Daphnia pulex: one gene and its partners. The protein of the gene in region 1 interacts with the protein of each later gene in a pairwise test. Links are inferred from orthologs where the notes say so. Each region holds a gene or a part of one and is shown on either strand. Other genes may lie near its edges. The genes, in order: neogenin-like, triple functional domain protein-like and E3 ubiquitin-protein ligase TRIM9-like.

What was found.
Region 2: the proteins of neogenin-like (region 1) and triple functional domain protein-like interact in a two-hybrid assay, tested with the Caenorhabditis elegans proteins (2 studies listed by BioGRID). The link is inferred for Daphnia pulex from reciprocal best matches to the Caenorhabditis elegans genes unc-40 and unc-73.
Region 3: the proteins of neogenin-like (region 1) and E3 ubiquitin-protein ligase TRIM9-like interact in a two-hybrid assay, tested with the Caenorhabditis elegans proteins (2 studies listed by BioGRID). The link is inferred for Daphnia pulex from reciprocal best matches to the Caenorhabditis elegans genes unc-40 and madd-2.

The regions. Positions count from the first base shown.
Region 1 is NC_060026.1:12,669,819-12,672,875, reverse strand, and holds part of neogenin-like, read left to right. Parts: coding exon 1-62; intron 63-142; coding exon 143-467; intron 468-559; coding exon 560-924; intron 925-1,096; coding exon 1,097-1,252; intron 1,253-1,323; coding exon 1,324-1,486; intron 1,487-1,555; coding exon 1,556-1,750; intron 1,751-1,961; coding exon 1,962-2,003; intron 2,004-2,152; coding exon 2,153-2,326; intron 2,327-2,408; coding exon 2,409-2,663; intron 2,664-3,057.
Region 2 is NC_060021.1:7,042,148-7,045,803, forward strand, and holds part of triple functional domain protein-like, read left to right. Parts: intron 1-42; coding exon 43-202; intron 203-372; coding exon 373-446; intron 447-713; coding exon 714-948; intron 949-1,157; coding exon 1,158-1,352; intron 1,353-1,448; coding exon 1,449-1,771; intron 1,772-3,656.
Region 3 is NC_060021.1:7,813,294-7,817,058, forward strand, and holds the end of E3 ubiquitin-protein ligase TRIM9-like, read right to left. Parts: coding exon 3,606-3,765; intron 2,565-3,605; coding exon 2,416-2,564; intron 2,303-2,415; coding exon 2,164-2,302; intron 2,087-2,163; coding exon 1,862-2,086; intron 1,791-1,861; coding exon 1,618-1,790; intron 1,443-1,617; coding exon 1,185-1,442; 3' UTR 563-1,184; downstream 1-562.

The DNA of each region.
Region 1 (3,057 bases):
CCTGGTCCGATCTGCCATCCGACACGCCACAGAACGTCGTCGTCGAACCGGCCAGCTCTTCGGTATGAAATTATTTTTTAATTTTTTTAAATTCCGGCTCAAATTTGTAATTGAATTGTGTTTTTAATTCATTCAAAATCAGAGCGTCATTGTCCGCTGGGAGCCGCCGTCGTTGGAGAATCAGAACGGCATCATCACCGGCTACAAGATCCGTTACAAGCCCAAAACTGGGCGTGGACGTTTGCCTTTGAATCCCGGCTCGTCCAACGCCGGGTCGACGGCCACGACGGACGGCAGCCGACGGCTTTACACGCTGACTGGACTCGTGCGCGGGACCGAGTATCAAGTTCGTGTCTCTGCCCTAACTGTCAACGGTTCCGGTCCCATGACTGAATGGATGACGGCCGAAACTTTCGAAAACGACCTGGACGAGAGCCAAGTGCCGGAGCCGCCCAGCTCATTGAGAGGTAAGAATAAATAACTCGGGTCGGGCCGATAAATTCATCAAACAGATTTCGGATGATTAAAACGTGACAATTTTCGGTTGACCTCCATCCAGCTCGACCGATGACGAATTCGATTAGCGTTTCGTGGAATCCGCCCAGCAACCAGAACGTCATGGTCCGCGGTTACACGATCGGCTGGGGCAAGGGCATTCCGGACGTTTATTCGAAACTGGTGGACGGCAAGCAGCGGGCGTTCGTCATTGAGAAACTGGAAGCCAATTCAGAGTACGTCATCAGTTTGAGGGCTTACAATCAAATGGGAGACGGGCGGCCCATCTACGAGACGGTGCGGACGCGCGAGGAATCAACCCCCGAGCCGCCCAGTCCCCTCATTCCGCCCGTCGGATTGAAAGCCATTGTGTTGTCGTCGACCACCGTCGTCCTCTACTGGACGGATACCACCTTGCCTCGCAGTCAGGTATACTACTTTAAAATTGCAATGGCCATTGCCAAACAACTTTGAATGTTTTAAGGACGAAACTTTCATTTTCATTTCTGGTGTAATGTCGAAAGGGAAAGGAAAAATTGCGGTTTTACTTTTTTCCCCCAAAAAATTGTAACCGAAAATTTCTCTTTGCTGTTTTTTTCAGACTGTCGCCGACTCGCGGTACTACGTCGTGAGGTACACTTCGAGCCACACGTCGAGCAATCCGCGCTACCGTTACATGAACTCGACAGTGCTCAATTGCATGCTGGACGATTTGAAACCCAACACTCAATTCGAATTCGCCGTTAAAGTCATCAAGGTAAAAAACATTTGTTTAAATTATTTTGAGAAAAGTGTTTATTTAATTTATTTTTTTAAAATCTCAAATAGAATCGTAGAGAAAGTCCCTGGAGTTTGGTGGTTCCAAACACAACATTCGAAGCGGCTCCTTCGTCGCCGCCACGCGATCTGACGGTCGTTCCGGTCGAGGAGAATCCGTCGGCCATTAACTTGAACTGGCAGCCGCCCAAGCAACCCAACGGTCAAATTACCGGTAAGAATCGGAGGAGGCTAATTCTTTTTTGTTATTAAATGATACGAATGAATGAATCTTGTTCTCCAGGTTACGTCATCTTCTACACGACAGACAGCTCGCAGCGTGATCGAGACTGGGTGGTTGAAGGTGTCGTCGGGGATAAGATGACCACGACCATCAAAGGCCTGACACCAGATACCGCATACTTCATCAAAATCCAGGCCAGAAATAACAAAGGATACGGCCCTTTCTCCAGCATTATTCAATTCCGCACCAATCCAAGTACGTCATTGCTCATTTCTTTTTTTAAATCGTTTTGATTGTTTTATTATTTGATTTTGCTTGTTGATGCATTTCATTGTTATTTTTCCCCTTAGTAGTCTTTATCAATTGATTCATTATCGTTTGGCATGATCCGAGTATTTGTTTTATTCAACCTTTTTTTTCTCGTTTTGTTTATTTTACCGTCCTTCCCTGTGGTCTTAAAATTTAGGCAACGGTATGACTTATCACGACGCTACTCCGGTTAGCAGAGGTAAATTCCTTTAGCAGCATGATTCCTGCATTCATTATTATTTGATTTGAAAGTCATTTTTTTTTTTTTAGTTTATAGAAATCTTTTAATCCATCCGGAATTTTCTTAATTTTTCATTTTCTTTTCTCCGTCCCTTTTCAACTCAACAGATAGTCGAGGCATATCCAGTATGACCTTGTACATCATCCTGGGTATCGCTACTGGTATCATAGTCATCCTCCTCATTGTCGTGCTGGTGGTTGTCTTCCGCCGCAGAGATTCCGGAGTGACCAACTCTCCGGATCGTTCCAAGAAAGGCTACGTCAAAGGCAACGTCAAAGGCGGTAATAAAACTGGCCAGAATTCTTTTGACTTTGATTGTGTCAAATTATCGTTATCATTACTAACAATTTAAATTTTTTCCAGGTCCAGGCAAACTGGGCAAGGCTGACAACCCACCCGACCTTTGGATCCATCACGACCAGATGGAGATGAAAGGATTAGACAAATCCCTGCACCGTTCCGGCTCCGTCAACACGGTCTCACCTCTCAACATGCGCCGATCTCAAGACCTGGACTCCCTGGACGGCATGGCCTCCGGATCAACTGCCGGTCGTGGCCCCAGCACGGCAGCCAACGACTCGCTCGATCGCCGGGCTGCTTACGTGACAGCTTATGCAGGTATGTCGGGGAGACATGGCCATCAGTCGATGACGTTTTGGTCTTTTTCTTTCTGCATTTCCGTCAACTTTGTTCACATTAGATGAAATCTGCTTTCCATTTGATTTTGGCCTTATTACTTTTTTTTTTGGTTTCGTTTATTTGAATTATTTTTAATTTTTGATCTAATTTGTGCATGGCTTTGCTCGGTTCTGTTGAAACTCTGCAATTATTTGATTTTTCTGTTTGGTTTTTAATTTTTTTTTTATTTATTTATCATTTTGCATTTTTTTTTCTTTTTAACCTCTGCATTAAAAAAAATCAACTGAAATCCCCTTGATGACCCGCACTCGCTTTCCTACTACCCCGCCCGCCCATCCCACACACAAACAAACACACAAAATAAACAAAAAAC
Region 2 (3,656 bases), on another chromosome or scaffold:
GATTTGAACGACACGATGATGATGATGATTTGTCCTTTGCAGCGTCTTCCTGCAAGCCATTGAAAAGTGCGGCGAGAACGTGGGCGAGTTGGGGCCTTTGTTCAAGCGCTCCGAGCGCAAGCTGCACATGTACATCGTCTATTGTCAAAACAAAGCCAAATCCGAGTACATTGTCTCCGAGTACATCGATACCTACTTTGAAGTGAGTCTGCCTTCCTTCCCGTTTAACACCTTCCTCATTTCCTAATCCCGACACCGTCAAGTCGCCAAAAAAACAACTTTGGTTTTTCCAGTTATTGATTTTTCTTTTTTCATCATTCCCGGTTTTTTTTTCTTTGATTTTATTTTTTCGCTTGGCATATCTCTCTCTAGGAGCTGAGACAGCGACTCGGCCACCGTCTGACTATCTGTGATCTCCTCATCAAACCCGTTCAAAGGATTACCAAGTATGGCGTCTTCCTGACCCCGCAGAGTTATTTTTCTCCCATCTTTTTGTCTCTTCTTGTTTGTGCCGTTTTTCTTCAAAGGAACCTTTTTTTCTTTCTTTTTATCTTCTTCTTTCTTCTCCGAGTAGAAGAAGATAAGACAAAAAGAAAACGGGCATAGTGGTGAAGTGCCGTGTTTGGGAGGAGAGGGGGGGAATAAGTTTTGTGCCAGGTGCAATTCATCAATCCGTTTGTTTGTCCGTCGTTTTTTTCTTTTATCTTTTTTAGGTACCAGCTGCTGCTGAGAGACTTGGTTCGCTACACTGAGAAAGGGCTAGACATTCTCGCCCGGCGGAGTAGTGACGACGATGTGAGCGCTAACGCCGCCACCGCCAACACGGACCACCTGCGCAGCTCGCTACAGGACGAGGTGGACACGCTGTCGCGGGCTCTCCACATCATGACCATCGTGCCCAAAATGGCCAACGACATGATGATGGTCGGCAGACTCCAGGGTTTTGACGTAAGAATTTTTTGTTTAGTGGGGAGGTATTTTCAGTTGGGAACGTGCCCAGCACAGCGGGATCATTCATCTCTTTTGTTTTGTTTGTTCTTTTTATGTCTTGGCTCTTTTTTTTCCCCCCCGCTCGTCCGTTCATCCATCCATCCGTCGTCTTGTCTTTTCGGCTGACATGGCTCGTCTCAACGGCGACAATACGCGGACCAAAACAGGGGAAAATAACCGCCCAGGGCAAATTGCTACTCCACGGCCAGCTTTACTGCTGCACGGAGCTGAGCAAAGTGCCGTCCAAAGAGTTCAAGGAGCTCCAAGTCTTTCTCTTCGAGCAGGCCATCATTTTCAGCGAAATTGTCGGCAAACGCACGCAGTTTATCCAGCCCGTCTTCATTTACAAAGCTCACATTCAGGTACTTATATTGGGATTCTCGCTGGATCCAGACGTCAGACTGACTAGTGAATTATTGATTCTATCTTCCTTGTTTTGTTTGTTTCTGTTTTGACAGATGAACAAAATGTCGCTGGATGAGAAATTCGAAGTGGGAGAGGCCGGAGAGCCGCTCAAGTTTTTAGTCAAATCAACAGATCCGAGACACACGAGCACCGGCGGCAGCGGATCGGGCGCATCATCCAGTGGTGCTCATTGCGCCTTCGTCTGTTACGCACCCAATCCCGAAGCCACCAACGAGTGGGTGGAAACCATTAAACAGATCCTCCAGTCGCAACGCGATTTCCTCAAAGCCATCCAGTCACCCATCAAGTACCAGAATGAGCAGCAGAGATTGAGCGGAGCTGGTGGTGCCTCCGGAAGTCTGGCCAGCCAGCATTTGTAAGTGTTCGCCTGCAGTGATGATGAAACGCCATCTCTCGCAAAATACCAAAATACCAAAAAAACAAACAAACACAAAAACACAAAAAAAAAAAAATCACGCGTACATATGAAATATTATAATTGCCCAAAATACTTTCACACACTCCAACAACCAACGCAAAAACAAACAAACAATCCTGCTGTTGCTCTCTCATTAACCTCAAATAGTTCCTCGCCGTGTGTCCAATCCCACACACACACACAGAACGCAATCCTCGTTTTCAAGTGAAGAGATGAGAAGAAGAAGTTGATTGAAATTAACATCCGCTATTTGCCACCACCACCATCCACAACCATCCAACACACACCACCAACCAACACATTAAAAAAAAAAAACTTTGCTCGGCTGTTGTAGCGGGATTCTACTTACATAATTATTATACCACCTTAGAACCAACTCCCTCGGGGCTGGGAGTAATTCTTCCCGTTAATTTCTTTCTTTCTTGCTCTCTTTCTCTCTATCTTTCGAATAACGTTTTTCTCTTCTAAATTGGGACGGATGGATTTTCTTTTTGTTGTTTTCTGTATTTACCCAACACCCCTCTCCTAACTGTCTTTCCATCTCTCCTGGTGTAGGAATTAAGTAGCAGCAGCTTTGCTCCTAATTCCTCAATTTGTTTGTCCATCAAGAGTAGACGGGGGGTAAAAAGAGTCGAAATTAGCCGCCATTAGCCACTCTAGGGGGGGAGCATAACAATTCCGGCACACACATTCTTTATTCTAAATCTTCTCTCTCTCGCTGCGAGAAAATGTTTTTCATTTTTTATTTTTCCCCCAAGAAGGAAGGAAAAATCGATTTCTATTACGTGTGTGCGTGTGTGCGTGTTGAGTGTTGAGTGTGTTTGAATGTTTAACTACCACCACCACCCAAAACAGAATTTTCTTTATCTCGTTGAAAACAAGGCTCCGGACGAATGAATGATTGCGTCACGTTGTCATTTGAAAATGGGGAAAACAAAAATCAAGTAATGTCAATAGAAGAGCATCTTTTTAAAAATTCAATTGATTCTGATCATGATTGGCGAGAACAGACAAAGAAAAAAAGCTAACGGTGGAAAATTAGTTTTCTTCTTATTTTTTCTTCCTTTCTCTTCTGACAAGCAGAAAGAATTATTCTATTCGTCTCCTTTTTCCCTCCTCGAAAACTAAAAAAACAAACAAAACAAAACACTGTAACAAGTAGACATTTCCCTCTCTTCGGTGTATTGTGTGTATATATCGTATAATTTTGAATATTATATCGAACGAATCATTTTTTTTTCTTTCATTTTCTCTTCGTCCCTTATAAAAAAAAACGAGATTTATTCTTTTTTTCTGCTCCCTCCCACAATTTTCATCCATTGTTTCCAAAATTTAACAAAATTTCCCTTTTCCTATATACTCCTAACCGGTATCTTTGACTGGATTAGTAAAAAAAAAAAAATTAACATGGTGGTTCTCTTTATTGTATACACAAACAATTTCATATTATACCTAATAAGCAAAGGAAGAAGAAAAAAAAAGAAACAACTTGATTGAAAAAAAAAGTTGAAAGAAAAGTTTTTTTTTCTTCTTTTATTTCTTGTAATTTTGGAGAGCGAAAAAAAAATTTACTTTCGATGCACAATGTATCACACTGTATAATAGTATTTTGATTCGGCTTGGTTCTTATTGATCATGTGGGTCCTTCTCTCCTCCTCCCTCATTCCCGTAATTCCCTTTCTCTTTGTTCCGCGTCTCCTATTTTTTAATTACCTTATAATGGGGGAAGTCAAAAAGGAAAGAAGAAGAGGAGATGAAAAAAAAAAGATTAAAAGAGACTTGAGACTCTCTGAAATGTTTTTTTTTCCTTTGTTCATTATAC
Region 3 (3,765 bases), on another chromosome or scaffold:
TTTATATACATCCATGTAGTTGAATAGAGCTGAACTCGATCGTACTTAACCTTTTCCGAGACCTGTCAAATCCAGACGGTCTCCCAACCAGAAACGATTTAGGAATTCATCGATATGATACGGGCAACAGGTTTCTTTCGTTCGTCAACAAAAGTGAAGAATCAGAATTTATCCCCCCAGTATCCTATTGGTTGTCGTTCCGTTTTCTGTAGTCGTCATCACGAAGCTTTATCAAGTTAGAGATACGACCGGTAGGATCGAGAAATCCTGGTTTTGCCCTCGAGGAGGAGCTGGTCGGCGTCGAAGGGACCCACCAATCAATAACTTCCAAGCTCCCCTCGTTCTCCTTGTCTCTCCTGTCCCCCACTCACCCCTCTTATTCCGTATATATACACATACACATATATATAGTACCCTCTTTGTGTGTGTGTGTTTGCCCGAATAAATGATTAAAGGTAGGAAGAAAGAAAAACAGGAAAAACGGGACACAAATATTATATTCCCGGACGTTGTTGTCCTGACAGCGCACTCGACTTGGTTAAAGGAATCAAAAGAAGGGCGAGTTCTTTTTTTTATTTGGTTTTGTTTCGTGCTTGTTCTTTTCGTTGACGCCGCCCCCTCTTTCATGCGAAAGAAAAAGCAAGAAGGAAACAACAAAAAAAGAGTTATCGACATGTTGTGCCATTATTTTCGTACCAGATAACAGAAAAAAAAACAAGATGAGAGAGATTCATGTCATCGCTTCCGGATGATGCACCATCAGTTTCAGAAGAGGGCGAGAAAGAGATAGAGAAGAGTGACAAACATACGTTATTACATTACACCATTTTCTTGTTTTTTTTTTTCCTTTTTTTTTGGCCCAGATTTATGTAGTACACACACACACACACACAAACAGATTTTTGAAAAAAAGCGGCCAGGATTCATCTGGCCTTTTTAAAATAGCAAGGTATATATATATAAATATTCCAATTACAGAAAATAGAAAAAAGATTAGAAATGGGACACTCGATGCCATTCGTCTGAGGTCGTTTTTTCTCTCCGACACTGATACAACAGGATTATTAATGACTGTACAAAAGGAGTCTGAGAGAGTTGAAATTAGTTTTGGTATGATTGGGTACTTCTTTGATAGGATATAGTATATTGTATAAGAAAGTGAAGGAGGAGCGCCTATATCTCTTCTAGAGGGCCGCCACGGCGCATGTGAGTGAGGTGATGGAGTCTGACGGGTTATTGGTGGCGCCGTTCATTCGCTCCGATCCTAAGACGTCGCCACCGGCGCCGATTTGATGGCCCTCGTCACTTTCTTCGCCGCTGTCTGGAAAAGAAGACGACGAGGGCGGAGGATCCAAGGCCGAATGGAGCGTGACTTGAACGTTGCGATTGAGCGAGACGGCCGGGTAGAAAACGCCGCAGAGGTCGACGAATGCCACCGTTCCCTGTTGTGTGCGTATCGACCGATCCCCCCACCGCCGAAATGAAGCCCAGACAGACAGACAGACACGAAAATAAGAGAAAAAAAAATGCAAATTGAATAATCAATGGTCGTACAACTCTCTCGGGTCGGATTTGAAATTTTAATCTGATTCATGTTTTTTTGTTTTCGCGTTATACCTGAGGCTCTTCGTTGACGAAGAAACTCAATTGACGCCGGTCGAGGTCGAGCAGGACGCCAACTGTGGAACCGACGTCGATTCCGCCGTCGGTTCTGTGACTGTGCACGTTATTGTGCAGGAACCAGGAGCGTTGGTGGTCGATGTACATGGACCAACCTAATTCGTCTTTACCTATACACAACAACAGCAAGGAATTATTCGCATGATTGCTCGTCGACATTTTAATAATAATCCTTTAATACCGAGCATAGAGTCTCTGGTGACGTCTCGGCGGGCGACGCCGAAGGCCGGATCGGCCGCTCCGTCGTACCGGTCGACTGTAAATTCCCAGTAGTGAACGCCACGGGAGAAACCGACCGAGCTGAGGAGAACGCGGGGCTCGTAGCTATCGGTCGTGGCCGTCAGTCCGTCGGCCGAAAGGCGAGTTTCGGCCGGATAGGCCGTCATGTCGAATGTGAACCAAGCCACTGTGAAAAATAAATGGGCGTCGTTAGGAGAAAAGAAAAATCAAAATTTCTTTTGGGGGTTTTGTTCCGTTTTTCACCTTCAGCGGTGTGAAGTCCGAGAGGATCGCTGTAGGGCCCTTCCCCGCTACTGTTGAAGGCTTTCACGCGGGCGTTGTAAAGAGAATTGAAATGCAGGCCGTCCACTGTGCAGATGGTCTCTTTGCCGCAGTAAACCTCCTGCAACGAAAAATATCGCGTGAGAATTTGTTAATTATATTGGCGCTGGCGGTGATCGTTATTTTTCTCATTTTTATTTGATTTTCGTGTGTTTGTGTGTGTGTGTGACTTACGCGGAAGCGGCCGGTGGCGACGCCTACGCCGTCGTCCAATTCGAGGACGAAACCCTCGACGAAAGAGGCCGGATGCGGTTGCCAGGCTACTGTGATTGAATTGTTTTCCGCGCTGCAATCCTCGGCCAGGATTCTCGGCGCTCCGGGAGCTGTGAAAAGATAATAAGCGCAACGAAATTATTATTATTCAAATTCAATTACTCGGTATTGAACCCTCGTCATCTGCTCTTAGTCTGACCGCACCCGTAATGCGATTTTGTCTTATCTCTCTATCCATTCCAACTTGGTCTGAGCTATCCTTTTTCTTGTCTTGTCTTGTCTTGGCGTTTGATCGTTTATTACGGTGCAACTGTTTCCAGTCAATCAGAATGCGCCTCTGCGTGCCCGACTCGCATGTCAAGTAGTTGCCCGTAATTCGATTGCGTACGCCCGTGCCACCCGTGCCGCCCGTGCTGGCCGCCGCGCGACTGACCGCTTCCAAGGACGAATGACTTTTGAACCGTTTCTCTCTCAGACACAAAGTTTTGTGTTTTATACAGTTGATTCCAATTGGAAAGAGTGTGTGTGTTTGGTGTGACTCTCGTCGGCTCCCATGGTAACTCCGGCTCTGCCCTGTGACAATTCCCACTACCCTCCCACAAAGAAGAAGAAGTAGAAGGAGAGAGAAAGACAATCTAATAGAGTTTGCGATTTCTCTTCATCTAGGCCGATATAGCTTGACATCAATAAGAAACGGCCCGGTTACTTCTCTCTGTCTTCTTGCCCCGCGCGAGTTAAAGAGTATCCGTCTTCATTTGACGAAAAGAATCGCCGGCATGGACTTGTGGCGCTTGCAACTAGAGAGTTTTTTAGAGGGGATAGAGAGAGGAGACTTTATGTATGTACAAGTCTACAGTCTGGTTGAAACTGTTGCGTGCGGGATCTTCATTAATCATCGGGACCTCCAACTCCCCGCGCGCGGCAGCCAAGCGGGAAGTTTGTCATTAACTTTTGGAAGTCGGATCGACCCGACCAGTGGGGGCTGTACATATAGTAGATGTTAAGACAATGAATCCCTCCCTATAGCCCTTAGCCCTTAGTCTTAGCTACAGCAGGAAGATATTATTACATTCCATAAACTTATCGTCTTGAAAAATATACTACGTAGTGCTGCACATATATATCGAGTCTAGCCGACTAATAAATATTACGTTTCATTTCTAGGAAAGTCAGCTGATCAATGTTGCGCCGGAGACCCAAGTCATCTAGCGTCAGCTCGAGGGTCGGGCTGGCCCGGTTGGTCAATTCGTCCATTTCCTGTCGCCAAGTCAAGTCCAAATTGGAGACGCGGTTGACTAACATCGACCCGAT